Diceros bicornis minor: one gene and its partner. The protein of the gene in region 2 binds, or shares a complex with, the protein of the main gene of each other region. Links are inferred from orthologs where the notes say so. Each region holds a gene or a part of one and is shown on either strand. Other genes may lie near its edges.

Evidence for each region. The genes of interacting proteins can lie anywhere in the genome.
Region 1: CC2D2A (region 2) and TMEM237 share a complex: the UniProt entries of both Homo sapiens proteins name them as parts of the tectonic-like complex. The link is inferred for Diceros bicornis minor from reciprocal best matches to the Homo sapiens genes CC2D2A and TMEM237.

What each region holds. Positions count from the first base shown.
Region 1 is NC_080749.1:79,489,990-79,497,728, forward strand, and holds the start of TMEM237 (transmembrane protein 237), read right to left. Parts: upstream 3,064-7,739; coding exon 3,056-3,063; intron 2,829-3,055; coding exon 2,818-2,828; intron 1,901-2,817; coding exon 1,844-1,900; intron 219-1,843; coding exon 81-218; intron 1-80. Other genes in the region: MPP4 (MAGUK p55 subfamily member 4), read right to left, coding at 6,619-6,810. UniProt on the Homo sapiens protein: Component of the transition zone in primary cilia. Required for ciliogenesis.
Region 2 is NC_080747.1:11,985,326-11,992,452, reverse strand, and holds the start of CC2D2A (coiled-coil and C2 domain-containing protein 2A), read right to left. Parts: upstream 3,061-7,127; 5' UTR 2,952-3,060; intron 1-2,951. UniProt on the Homo sapiens protein: Component of the tectonic-like complex, a complex localized at the transition zone of primary cilia and acting as a barrier that prevents diffusion of transmembrane proteins between the cilia and plasma membranes.

The DNA.
Region 1 (7,739 bases), on a different chromosome or scaffold from region 2:
ATGGGTGAGGAAAAATGGGAACAGACAGGTTTTTAATCATACTCTCCAAATCACAACCTAACCTTGGTTTCTCTACATACCAAGAGGTGGCCTTGTCTTCTTCTGTCTCCTCTGAACAGGAGCTTCTGGATGTTCTCTGGGGTCTTTAGTTGGCAGCTCACTGCCCTCAGAAGGCCTATGAACAGCAGTTTGAACAAGGCCTTCCAGAGAAGCACTAGCTACAAAAAAACAGTGGGAAAAATGAGATAACTTGAGCAGAGATCACTAAGTCTTAAAAAGACAGGAAAAAGGGAACTGGAATGTTTCCTATAGAATAACCCCTTCTCATACAGAACTGATTGTGCCCCAAATCTTGATTTCCTTCCTCCTCACCTGTAACTTTGGGCTTTAAGTTGAGAAAAGAAATAAATGAGGGAATAAGGAAGGCTGAGGAAGAAAAAAGCCAGTGGGCTAGAAAGAACAAAAGAAGAGGAGGAGGAGAAATTGCCTCAGAACTTTCAAAAAGGTGAAAACACAACAGAACCGTCACCATAGAGAACTCTTATTTGTCTCATGCCTTAAGAATTCTCAGCCTCTTAACCGCTATGCCACTGGGCCAGCCCCTAAATGAACAATTTTAATAAAAGCCTAGCAATATATCCCCTTTTTGGTCTGGGGCACTGAATTTTTTTCTCTTTTTTACAAGAAGGAAGACTGGTAGCTGGGATAGACTGCACCTCTGCTCCCCCAACACTGTCTTTACCGCATCCTCCACTTGTGACCTTTCTAGGTCCATATGTGTGTCTATAACTAACTGTGAGTGTATTTTTAGAGCCTAGCATTTCAGTGAGTATCTTTGTGAATCTAAGTCTCTTTGCATCTCTTTTCTTTCTGTTCTGTGTCTATATGTCTTTCTCTCTCTATGCACTCATCTCCATTTCTTTCTTCTTCTCTCCCCCCCCCATCTATTCCTCCATTTGTCAGGCAATAAGCCAATGTAAGTTTCTGACCAGGTGGAAGGCATGATCAGCTATGAGCTTTAAGAAGCTCACCAGCAGTAGTGGGCAGAACCGACCAGAGTGGAGGAAAGCTAGAAGTACAGAGCAATGCTGGAGGCTACCCCAACAGCTCAGGGAGAAGAGAGATCTAAATACCTACAGTTGTGACAGTGGAGATGAAAGGGGGAAAAGAGACATAAAAGATACCACAGAATAAGTCAGCTTGTGAGGCAGCCAGGAGAGTGAAGGGAACAGTTAGAGGGCTGACTTTGAGGTTTCCAGCTTGAATGACTGGGAGAGTGGGGGGGTCCCATTAACAGAAATTCGTAAGTGAGAAGTAAAAATTGATTTATTGTTGAAGGTGAAGATGAATTCTGGACGTGCTGAATTTGAGTTACTGATAGAACATCCAGGATTACTAGTGCATAACTAAGACTTGCTCATTATTAGAGCTTTACTACCTGCATTATACAGCCTTGCCTTCAGACTCACGCTCTACTGTAGAGATTCTCTGACTGAAATGAGGGATCAGGAACCTTAGGTCTCTAAATCCAGTATCCTGTTCAAGGGTCTGGAACCAATCTCAGCTTGAGACAACTTATGTTATCTAGGGATAAAAGACCTCAAAGAGTCAGAGAATGTTTTGGAAGTAAGAGTTTAGGGGGCACAACCCTTTATTCCATGAATGCTTCTAGACACTCTTCAGACTGAACCCTGCCTTGTCCCTCACTACCACCAGGAATCCCACCGCTTCAAAGTGACCCTGATTCTATCCTCAACACAGCAGGGACTTGATCTGTGATGTTTATCACATCTGAGGTTCTGGAAAAACATGTGACCCCATACAACAAAGAACAACTTCTTACCTAGTGTGGTTTTTGTTCTGGGCTTCTTTTTCTTTGGACGACTAAGGGGAATATCATCTACAAAACAGAAAGAACAACAACAGAAAAGGCTGTCTAAAATTCAATGCAGGGAACACTCAAAAGTGAACTTGAAGTAGGGAAGAACTTTCCCTCTCTTCCCTGGGTCCAGCCAACTTCTACATATTAGGAGAAGAAGGCAAGAAATTGACAAAGTCAAAGAGAGCCCACAGCGTGGCACCAATAGCTCATTGCTGGTAGTAATGTTAGAAACTGTGACACAGAAAGTGGGCTCACCAAATATTCTCGTCACCCCTCCCACCCCCGCCCTGCACTTAGGTGTGGCCTATGACTGGTTCTGGCCAATAGGTTTCGAGCAAAAGTGATCTGTGTCATTTTGGGGCCAAAATATTGAAAGAGCCAGTGAGTAACCCTCCAGCTTTCTCTTCCCTTGCTGTGGCAACTGAGGAGGCCTCACGTTAAGATGGCAGAACCACAGGATGGAAGTAGGCTGAATCACCGCATCATCAGTGAAGGGGCAGTGAAAGGCAGCTGTCCTGGATTGTTGCTTCAATGGACTCCATATTACCCAGAAATAACCTTGTATGATACTAAGTCCCTGAGACTTGGCGGTTAGTGTAACATAACCCAGTCTCTCCTGGCTCAGTGAGACAAAGAAAGATGCAGTCCCTATTACAGAACTATAAATGGCCAGCAGTTAGGTTCCGGGTGACTCCATTAAGGGATGAGTGCTTTTATTTTTGCAAGGTCAAATATCAACCACATAACTAATATTATACATCAACCATCATTAAAAAATGGCAGTCAGAGGAGATTATTATGATAAAAAGATATTGTAGTATTATAAATTATACCATTCAGATTCAAATTTAAGAGAAACATTAAGGAATCAAACTAACTTTTGAACACCAAATACTACATTTAGAAAGTTTTACAGTAACAGTGAACTAACTCACCTTGAATAGCACTTTACATGACACCGACCAAATTTAATCAGGACAAAGACAAAAAAAGAAACTATTAATTAGAAATATATTATATTGTCAGACTGAAATTTGACTTAAATCATTACAAATTAAAAATAAAATTAGCTTTCACACAGTCAGTTAGTTTACAAACTAGCTTATTATTTATAAGTAATAACCTCTTTAATAAGACTGCCAATAAAATAACCCTAATATTTTCTGAACCAACATATACATATTCCCCACTGTCTATTAATAAAGTGGATTAAACAGATTAAGAACTCTTATTTTGTCACTGATTAAAATCAGCTTAAACTCTGCGGAAACTATTCTAGCAAACAAAAGAGGATCAGAATTCTGATAAACAAGAGACTTAAACACTCAGAACGGACCCATCATCCTACCACGCTAACAGTCAGGCTCTGAACCAGAACATTAACTATAACCGTTACTTACACTAATGACTCAAGGATTTTTCACCTTTAAACTTTTAGGAAGCCATTCCTAAAATTTTCAAGAAGTCTTTTCTGAATTATTATCATTTTGTAATGGTATAATTTTTTCACTTTATTCATTTTACATTTTTAAAACGCAGTAATAAAATTAAATTATTTTTACCTTGGCACAGGTGGAAGGGCTCGTGGAGGACGCTTTGGGGGAAAAGAAGAAGAAAACTGCTTGTAAGAAAAGCTTTAGAGCATCTCTACTCCATGTATTTCAAATCTTTTGATAACCCTGTTCATCAAGTGAAACCCAGGAGATACTGATGAGAATCAGATGGACAATTTTAAATTTGTTTCACCATTTCTAAATGTCATATAAAATTCCTTCCTTCCTACATTCCTTTCTATCTAAAGGGCAGGCCCTGTTCTAAGCATTAGGGATACACTAATGAACAAAACAGAGAGACTGCTTTTATGGAATTTACATTCTAGTGGTTAAGTATTAGAAGATAACATTAATATATATATATTACTATAGTAACATATATGTATTACTACGTATATTACTACAGTAATATATACGTGTGTGTGTGTGTATATATAGTAATAAATGAGGGAGGCTGAGGAGTGCCACTTTAGTTAGGAAAAGTCTCTGAGATATTTGAGCTGAGACCTGAATAAGAAAGGAGCCAAAGGGGAGCAAATACAAAGGCGTTTAGGGAAGATTGGGCTTGGAGTATTCCAGATAAAAGAAGGCCAGTAAGGCTGCCAGACAGTTACCAAGGCAGGGACCAGATTAAAATCAGGGTCTTGAAGACCAAGAGAAGGAGTCTAGATTTTCTTTTAATTTAACGGGAAACCACGGAGGTTTTAAGCATTTTATACAGCGTGAAGAATGCATTTTAGGGCAGAAAGAATTTTTTTAAAAATCTTATAAATGCTACTTTACATGAATAGGAAAAGTTGTGTTTGCAGTTCAGAGAAATTACAGTTAAGAAGCATTCTGAAATCTTTCAAAATAAAACAAACAGAAATGCCTAGAAATCAGTATCTCACTCGGCTTGCAAAAGACACCGATTCAAAAGGGTTAAATTTTAGACACTCTTGTATTCTACAACTGTCCCATTTAGCGATCCATCATTCAAACAGTGTAGCAACACAAATGCTACAAGAGTAGGACACGGCAGGCTGTCTTAATACTGTCCAGTAGTCACAATTCGACTGGAAAGAACGACAGTTCCACGAAAGCGCTATTGTCCCGAAGATGCTAAGGCCGGCGTTCTACCCAGGCGCTCAGTTCACGCCGTTAACGCCACGTTTCAAAAGTCCCGCAAAAATGACGTGTCACCCATCCAGACGGCCAGCCTCTACGCCCCTCAAAAGTAGAACGGCCCAAGCGAACACAAAATCTTCCTAACTCAAAAGTAACTAAGGCTCGCTTACCACCTGCTTCCTCCCCATTCCGTCTCCGGCCGGCTCCCCGGCCGCCGGCCGCCGCCCGCTCCCCGGCGCGCACCCCGCCCCCCGGCCGCGCGCAGGCGCAGTGCGCCATCGGGCTGCGCCCCCAGGCCGCTGGGGCCCGCGGCCTCCTCCGGGCGCGGGGCTGGCCCTCCCGGGCTGCCCCTGCGGAACTCGCGGCGGCGGAGTCGGGCCTGCGCGGCCGGGCGTAGAGACGCCGGCGGGCGAGGGGTAGCCATCAAGTGGTTGCGGTGATTTGCTGGCGGGAGGGAGAAAGGGCTAACAGCGCTCTCCTCCCGGCGGCGGACCCTCCGGGGGGAGGCAGTCGGGGGCCTCGCCCGCAGCCCGGGAACCGCAGGGCCCGGGCCGCGTCGTCATGGCAACGTGCGCCCCGGCCGCCGGCAACCTCCCGCCTGGCTCCGCGAGTTCGGGGCCGGCCTCGGGGCGAGCCTCCGCCTCGGCCCGGCCCGGCCCGGCCCGGGGGCTCCGGGGGGCGGACGCACGCTCCGGAGCGGGGCTCTGCCCGGGCCCCAGCGCGTCGGCGTGGGCCCCGCGCGGGGTAGGTGCTGTCAGCGCAGCGCCCTCCGCCCGGCCCGCCGCGCCCTCCCCGCTCACCGGGCCGCCCTCCTCCGGCCCGACCCCCGAGTCGGCCCTCATGGCGCCCTCCCCGCGGGGCTCCTCGGCGCAACCGCCGCGGCCCGAGCCTGCTCCCCGGGAGGCGGGCTTCGCGGCGCCCGGCTCGGCCCCCGCCCGGGCCAGGTCTCCGCCCGCCGCCGCTCTGCGCAGCCCCGCGTTCCGGGGCGTCGGAGGCGGGCACCGACGCGTTTAGCCGCGGGGCCCCAGGGTTCGGCTCGGTTCGCTTGGGGGTGTGTGTGTGTTAACACAGGCAATTGTCAAATTTTCTCCAGTTGCTTGCCCTCCATCCCACAACTGTGTAAATCAAGTTTGGGAAACCTTTTTCTCGAAGCACAACATAAAATCAAATCTGGGCTCACATAAGCATCATTAAAAATGACAATTTTCTTCGTTTTGTTTGGTTGGGTTTTTCTACAGAGATAATATTCACTTTAAATTTATAAACTACAAATATTTTGAAGCACACACTCATAGTTAAAGCGAGCGGAGGGATGGTGTGGATATGGAGAAAGTTGGAGGATGATGCAGAAGATAAACACATAACAGGTGCAGGAGAAGCGACTGAAAGTCTCAGACCTAGGGAAGAAAGAAAAACAAGACTACGTGGAATAATATCCTCATCCTGTGGTTTTCTCAGATATTGGTCTCTAGGACTGAAGTCTATTGCCCTTTCCTAGTTTAGGCATAAATGTAGATATTGGCTTTTAGGAAAATTGATGGTTGTTACAGCTCTGAGCAGGAGACGACTTTTTCCTTGTAGCCTGTTGTGTAATGTGCTGAGGGTAGTGCAGTTTCTGTAGGTTTTGATGTTAGGTGTGAACTGTGTATATTCTTTCTTGCTGAGTTAGTCAAGTGAAAGCCATTTTCATAAAACAGAAGTTTCATAAGGTAAAATATAGTTTCTGAAATTAAATACTTATTTTATTTAGGAAAGCTCTTTTATCTAAATTGTACAAAGACCATATGAAATCTATAAAAGGTTCTTATATTCAGTGACTTAACATGGTTCATATTCCTACCAATTGCTGCATATGAGGTAAAGGAAAACATTTTTTTCTAAAAGCCAAATAGGTAACTCTACATAACTATACAATACAAATATATTTTCAAATAAGATTAATTAATAAACTGCAGCACTTTTAAGTTGCACACGTTGTAACAGGGCAAATGCTGCTGTTTTAGGTTGCAGCTGTTAGGCCAGAGCTCTGTAACAGGTGAACGTTGTTAAAACTCCAGCATGAAGCGGAAGGCCTCCTTAAGGCTCAGTATCAGAGGAAACCCACGTTGCTGGCACCCACTGCGGCTCCTCCTGCGCCTTCTGAACTGCAGATAGCAGCTGGGCACATGCATCTTGCAAGCGGTCATTCACAATCACGTGATCAAAAAACTGGCCAAACTGAGTCTCCATTTTTTGGGCTAAATCCTCCATCTCTTGTAGATCTTCATCCTTCAGGGGAAATAGAAACATATGGATAGCACAAACGTAACGAGTAATGAGACCAATAGAAATAATATGCAGCTTGTTATGATTACTGTTATGCAGCTGTTACATTTGGTTGTGAAGCTATTTATGAAAAGTTAGGTCAAATAAATGTGCTTTATTCTAAACCACAAAACTTATGTTTCTATCTTTAGTCTTACTTAACGTCTCCCTGGGCAAGTTTTCACAAAATTTAGTAACAGTTTGTAGACAGACCAATCCTCTCAACTTCCCATTTGGACTTAAAATATCTTGTTCTATTATCTAAACACTTGAAGCTCTCAAACAATATACAACATAAAACCAAAGAAAATTTACCAGTTAAATTTAAACACAAATTTCAAATGAACATTAATCTGATAAGAATGACATTATTTTGCAATACACAATGACCACTTTCAACATGAGGATGCTCTGACCCAGTTCTATTGAATTAGGCATACTTCAATTACCCTTTCCTTCATGATGACCTAATTCACCCTAATATCGTCTCTTTCTACTATTGTGAGATGTTCATTCAGTGAAGGTCATTTGGCCTTCACTGAGCACTAATGCAGTAAATTCATTGTTCTTATTTTATTTGTCGACAACAATTAAAATAGTACAACTCGTTGCCAATGCATCATAAACACAAATATAAATGCAGGCACTGGAATCTCGTGGCAGTACTGCTTTACAAGGTGACCTTACACATGATCCAGAAACAATTTTGTTCATTTGTTTAGATTACCATAAAAATAAGAACACAATTTTAAATGCCTGTAAGACTCAGAGAATATATCCATGGACTCCACTGTCTGAAATGCAAACTGGAGAGTCAGACCTTGATATAGTAATCATTGAAAACATATGAACATAAAAATAATGATAGAGAAAGGATAATATAAAGCTATCTT
Region 2 (7,127 bases):
AAATCATAAGCCCTTCCTCATATCCGTGGAATCTGACTCCTAGCTGGGACTCAGTCATTTAAGCAGTTCATCTGAGGTATTCAAGGTTTCACTGACCCTAGTGGGGGATTAGCACGTTAAAGGGAAATAAAACATCTGAAATTCCATTGTCTCCCATCCAGACCTCCTCGTGGGCTACAAAAAACAGAGGAAGAGAGATGATGAAAGCAGCTAGGAAAACAAAAGGATGGGGAGGTAATCTAGAGAGAAGGAGGGGCAGATAATAAAAATGAAATGCCACAGGACACGAAACCTCTCTAATAAACACCTCTGGTAATTATGAACGGGAACAAAAGAACTGTGATATATTTTAGTGACTGAAAAAAGATTCTTTCTCAATAAATTAAAAAAATATATTGTATGTGAAAGAAAGAAATAGAAGTAGAAAATGAAAAATGTAATGGGGTTGATTTTTTTCTTCTCATTCTTTCCTGATCATTACTTTTGAATGAGTTTCTAAGGAAATCAAATAACATCAAAATTTATGTTTTCATGAACACTGTTGCTAAGAAAAGATAAATTAATATTGCCCCACTTTAATATGCAGCTTGTCATCTTGCGTTGAGCGCTTGTTAATATATTTCTATTGGTAACATCAAAATAAGAGCTGTGATTTACTGCAGACTTATTTTGTGCTCTCTCTAGATACATGTGATCATGAGGCCTCACAATAACTCTGCTAACTTAGTAGCACATGCCTCAATTTACATACGAGGAAACCAAGGTTTCCTCTGAGGTTAACCTCTGACAGGTTACATGACTTGCCCAAGGTGATAGTTATTCAACGTCACATTCAGAATTTGACCCCAAGACTGTGATCCCAGAGTCCTCTTCCGTGCCACTCTGCCTCACCATTTAGTCTCGCTTTTACGATGATATCAGTTACCATTCTATGCTAGCCAACTATTCTGGAAATATTGATGATTGAGTTGAAGTGGAGCATTGTCCCACTGAGAACGGGCTTTGGCTACTTTAAGTCAATGATTTATTTAACTCAGTGCAGAAACCACAGACATATTTCAAGGAAAGTAGTGACACCTTCATCCAAACAAATGGACTATCTCTGAGGGTCAAGAGGATCAAAGTCCTATCCAGGGGCCCCTGTGGCAAATTCTACAGGATGTAGGGGAAAAGGAATGAAGATATATGAAAAGGGCACCATTGTATGCACTGCATCTCAACCTTGGCTGCTTAAAAAACAATACAGTGGGTGCATCCTACTCCAGAACTGTGAAAACATGGGTTTATAGAAAGAGTGAGGCCTTTGTAAAAAATTATATGGACCTGGGTTCCAATTCCAGCTCTATTTATCAGCTGTGTGCTCTTGGAGCAATGCCTTCACCTCTCTGAGATTTCTACATCTGTAAACTTGCCATCATAAATCCTACCTCAGTGGGTGATGATTTTATAAGGGTTAAATGATAAAATGTGTGTAGTAAAATGCCTAGCTTGGACCAGGCTTTCAATACCAGTAAGCGTTATTATTAAAAAATGTGATGGTAGAGAGGGAAAGTAGAAGAATCGTGTGGGGAGGGAAAGAGCTTAGGGGACAGAAGGAGAGTCATAAGAAAGACCTTAGATCAGGCCCCCTGTACCATCTTTGGTTCCCAAGTTCAACTCTCTGGCTCTAATAACCAATATCCCCTCTCCCTTCCCTGAGCTGGGCCCAGGGCAGTTTTCTTTCTGTTTCTATTTATGGTGTTTCTGAAGCCTTCCCCTGCCCTCACACCCATGGGCATTTCTCCCTGTGTACAGTGCTTAGCTTTTTCTGTCCAGACTGGCAGAGCTGGAGCCTGGACCTACGCTGGGCAGGGGCCACACACACCCTTTTTAAAATTTATTACCTAATTCTACAAGTTATTCCAGCCGTAGCTTCCCATAGTTTAAGGTTAGGGACCTTAATCAGCTCAATATAACACACATCGCCCTTGAAGAGCACATATAAATCCCATATTTGAGCTGCGCTCTGTGATATATGCCCAGGGCGCACACACGATGAACCAGGTGCCCCCAGGCCCTCCCTGGGAGTAGTCTGCTGTGCTCTAAGCACTTTAAACCCTGTGATAAATCTCCTATGGCACTCAGCTCACTCTACTGTTATGATCTGTTTACAGGTCTGTCTTCCCAGGAAACTCAGAGCTTCTGACCTATCTTATTCACTTTTGCACACTCTCAACTTCAGCACATTGCCTGGTGCACTGTGGATGCCCGATAAATGTTTGAATGAAAGACTCTTTAAATGAGCTCTAGGAGAGAGATATCGAGAGAGATTTCATTCTGGTGCTGAATTTACTTGCAGAAAAGGTGATATGAAAATCCAACCACAGACTTGTATTTCCCATTAGATTTATTAGCTTTTCATAGCACCTCTTTGCAATGAAGGGAAATAATCAGCTTAAATCGCAGCCAGCAGATTATCTTGAGGTCTTTTGGAGAGAACAGCAATCCACAGCCCTGTGTCTGTAGTGGCCTTTTCTCTGTCTAATGGGAGGAAGGGTGAAGGCTGCAACAACTAGTACTTCCCCCCTCAAACAAATTGGAACTGAAAGGCCCAGAACGGCAACATGCAGCAAATGTTTCTGGGAGACCGGATGCAACAGGACGGCATGGAAGTCCCAGGCAGGAAGCAGAGGGACCGACCCTCTGGGAGGAATTCCACCCAGGGGCTGTGATGAGCCTGACTGACATAGCCTGCACACCAGACACCGGGCAGCAGCTCAATCTAAGCAGTCCAAGGAACGCTCTGTGCTTCAATTCCAGAAAGTAAAACATCAATAGTAATGATGAGAACCCTTAATTTACAGTTCATTAAATCCACTCAGGTTACCGAGGGGAGAGGCTGAACTCCAAGCCTGGGGACTGAGAGCGGGACACCATTGCAGCAGCCCCGCTCCCGGGAAGAACTGCTTTACCTTAAGGAACTTTACAAAGGCGCTGTGCAGACTCTGCTTTCTGGGACGAAGGGAAAGTGGAGAGAGACAGGTCCTATTGTTGAATCTTCTAAAAGAGTCCAAAAGGAAATGCTGAATGCTGGGGCGGCCCCTAGGCTGCTCCCTGGAAGCTGCAGCCAAGTCTCCAAGCAAAAACACCCGCTTAGCAACCCGTTCCTAAGGAAGGTCACTCGGTGGCTTTTTTTTCTTTTAAAGTGGCAGGTTACTTCCAGCAGTGGAACACAACAAACATGTGGGGTGATCAGAGGAGCACAGCCTACAGGAGAAGGACAAAGAGAAGTCAGCTTGGGGGACCTGGGCAAAAATTAGGTCAAGTTGTAAGATAGCCTCCCTCATGTCATCAGGGGTCACTGGGCATTTCTGGTAAAACACAGGCGATGCTCAGAGGTGGGTGGTTAAAACCATAAAAGGCCGCAGTTGTAGGGTGAGGGTGTCCAGCTTATCCACAGCAAAGGCTTCCTGGAGGGGCTTTGGGCACCAGCGAATGTGGCTCTGGAGTGTTTTCTGGTTAAAGGTGGAAGATTGAACGTACAGGCTAATCTCTGCTTATTCTCTGAATCCCTCTAAAATTACTGAAAGAGGACATAAATGTTATGGCTCAAAAAAGCAAAGGAAATGGGAGAAGAGGCAAAGTAGATAGACGAGTAATGGAATGAACAGACCAAAGAAAGCCACACTCCAAGTATACGTGTGTATGTGTGTGTATTTGGGTCTCTGTGTGTATCTGTGTGTCTGAATGTGTGTATGTGTACGTCTGTGTCTATGTGAGCCCGTGTGTATGTGTCTATGTGTGTCTGTGTGTCTGTGTATCTGTGTGTATGTCTCTGCGTGTGTAAGTATCTGTGTACATGTCTCTGTATGTGTATGTATGTGTGTCCCTGTGTCTCTGTGTATGTGTATGTCTGTGTGTGTATCTGCATGTGTGTCTGTGTACATGTGTCCGTGTGTGTCTGTGTGTGTATGTATGTGTGTCTCTGTGCGTGTATCTGCGTGTGTGTGTGTGTGTGTGTGTGTGTGTGGTGGTGGGGGGCAGGTAGCAGTAAGAATGAGGAAATGACCTGATCTACTCTGCAGAACTCCAGAGAGGCTCTTAATTAGGCTCAGTGGTGTTATGGGTTGAACTGTGTTACTCCAAAAAAGAAATGTTGCAGTCCTACCCACTGTACCTCAGAATGTGACTTTATTTGGAGATGGGGTCTTTACAGAGGTAATCAAGTTAAAATAAGGTCATTCGGTGGGCCTTGATCCAATATGACTGTGTCCTTTTAAAAAGGGGGAATTCAGGCACAGAGACGGACACACACAGAGGGAAGATGATCTGAAGACACGAGGAGAACACCATCTACAGTCCAAAAAGCCACCTTTCTTCTCCAGGGAAGTTGAACCAGAGACACTAGGTCTCAAGTTCCCAGGTTTGGCAGAGGGTGGGTGAGTCTCAGGGCTGGAAACTGGATACAAAATGGAGAGGTGGGCAGGTTGCTCTCCTTTTCACAGAACTGAGGCAACTAAACATATATCTTTAGGTCCCCCTGTGCCACCTCCACAGGCATCAAATTGGAAAACGTGAAATATTGTTTTCTGGAGAAACTGAATAGCCACAAAGACTAGATCCAAGATATCGTCGTTTCTGAATTCTCCAATGAAAAAACAAGCATATCGCCCTTACAAAAAAGTATTATAGAGAAAATGAGAGGATTTCAGGTTAAGAAATTCCACACCTGTAGTTATAGAAAGAGAGAACCAAGGAAATGAAAAGGTAGAATTTATCAAAGCAGTAATATTAGAAAACATCTCAGAAGTGGAAGAACAGGCTTTTAGATTGAAAGAGACTATCTATTATTTAGTGCTGGCATAAGGAGACAACAAGAGAACTTGTAGTGTGTGCTCTGCATACGGTGGAAAAAATATTCTCCAGAGAATTCATAACCATTGGCTTGCACTATGCTGTTGAAGCATCTTGTTTATGCTACCTATATCACTTAGGAACCCCCTAAGTGACAAATTTTAAAAAATGGTCTCAGGCTACTGGATCCCTGTGGGGTGCCAAGCAAGAGCACAAAAGAAAAATACAAAACTTTTCTGGAGGGACACACTTTCAAGTAGTCAGTTCAGGATGGCCACAGATTAACCTTGCTGAAGATGAGCTCACAATCCAAAATTAGACAACACAGGGGGAAACAATCAAGAGTCTGCAGACAATCAGAGAGCACTACTAGATCCTCAAGAACTTCTGATAATACAATGATCAGATGGAGAATATAGAAAAACAATGACCATATAAGAACTGAAAAGGAGGCTTTGAAAATATGAGAAGAGTGAGATGCTATCAAAAAGATTAGGCAAATGTGAAAAAGAACCGGCTAGAACTTTTAGAAATGAATAGTAAAGTTATGATTTTTTTTTTAAAGCAAAGGATGTGTTAAACTACTAATGAGAGAGCTGAAAAGAGAATTAATGATGCAAAAGAGAAATTTAAAAAATTAAAATGTGGCACAGAAAAATGGAAAATAGGAAAGAGTGGATCAAAGACATGGTGGAGAAATTGAGTGGTCCACCACATCTAGTGGAGTCCCAGGAGAGAAGAGAGAAAGAAGTTGAATGCAGGATCTTAAGGTTGAGGATCTTCAACAACTTCCTTAACTTCTCTAGGCTTCAGTTTCCTCATCTGTAAATTGAGGTTAATAATAATAATAGTGACTACTCCAGAGGGTTGTTATGAGATTTAGTAAGTTAATATTGGTCAAATCCTGGCACATAGTAAATGCTGTAAGGTTTATTAAATTAAAAAAGTGTGGATGTTGTCTTAGCTCAGGCTGCTTTAACAAAATACCATAGAGCGGGTGGCTTAAACAATAGAGATTTATTTTCTCACAGTTCTGTAGGCTGAGAAATCCAAGATCAAGGTGCCAGTCCCTTCGGTTTCTGGTGAGAGCTCTCTTCCCGGCTTGTAGATGGCTGCCTTCTTGCTGGGTCCTCACACGGCCTTTCCTTGGTGCATTGGGATGGGGAGAGAGAGAACTCTCTCTTCTTCTTCCAATGGGGCCGCCAATCCTATTAGATTAGGACTTCACCCTGAGGACCTCATTTAACCTTAATAACCGCCTAAAATCCCTGTCTCCAAATACAGTCATATTGAGGGTTGGGGATCAACATGTGAGTTTTGGGGGGACACAGTTCAGTCTATGGCAGAGGTTTACGGTAAGAGATCGTGTACTCAAAGTGGTCAACTGTCATAAGAGGTAGGATTTGTTCACCACTCTTGTGCTAATAACCTTCTGATTATGACCTCTCTTATCTTTTAATATTTAACTAAACTAAACCAGTTCATAAGAATTATACATCTCCTCACAAAGGTCTGAAATTATTAAAAAACATCATTCAAAAACATCATTTCTTGCAGAAATTCTGATGCAAGCAAAATAAACGAATCTAGCAGATTTGTTTTAAATCAAAATGCAAAAATCTCACTCTTTTAGGTTAAGTGTTCCTAGCTGGCTAAAGAGTTCTTAATCAAGAATAAGTGTTGAATCATGTATCACGAGGTTTTTTCCTGCATCTTTTGAGGTAATCAAATACGATTTTTCTTCTTTCATTTTTTAATGTGGTGAATTACATTAACAGGCTTTTTAATGTCAAACTTTTCTTGCATTCCTGGGATAAGCTAAACTTGGTCGAGATGTTTAAAAGATTAATTGTTGGATTTAGTTACTAATATTTAGACTTTTTGGCTTTACTTTCAAAATTGAGATTGTTTTTCCTTTCTTGTATTATTTTAGTATAAAGGATACTCTAATCTCAAAACAAAGCAGATTAATCTCTCTGTCCTTCTCTGTCTCTCTCCTTCTGTCTCTCTGTCTCTATTTCTCTCTCTGTCTCTGTCTCTCTCTCTCTCTCCCTCTCACACACATACATGCAAACACGCACACACATGCACACGGTATCTGTTCTGTGAACTTGTCTATAAAGTCTTTTGGGTCTGGAGATATATATTTTTTTATTGTGGTAAAATATATCTATATAACAAAATTTGCATTTGGGCCATTCTTCCCAGTTTTATTCAGATATAATTGACATATAATATTGCATCAGTTTTAGGTGGATATGTATTCATTCACAATGTTGTGCAACCATCACCAC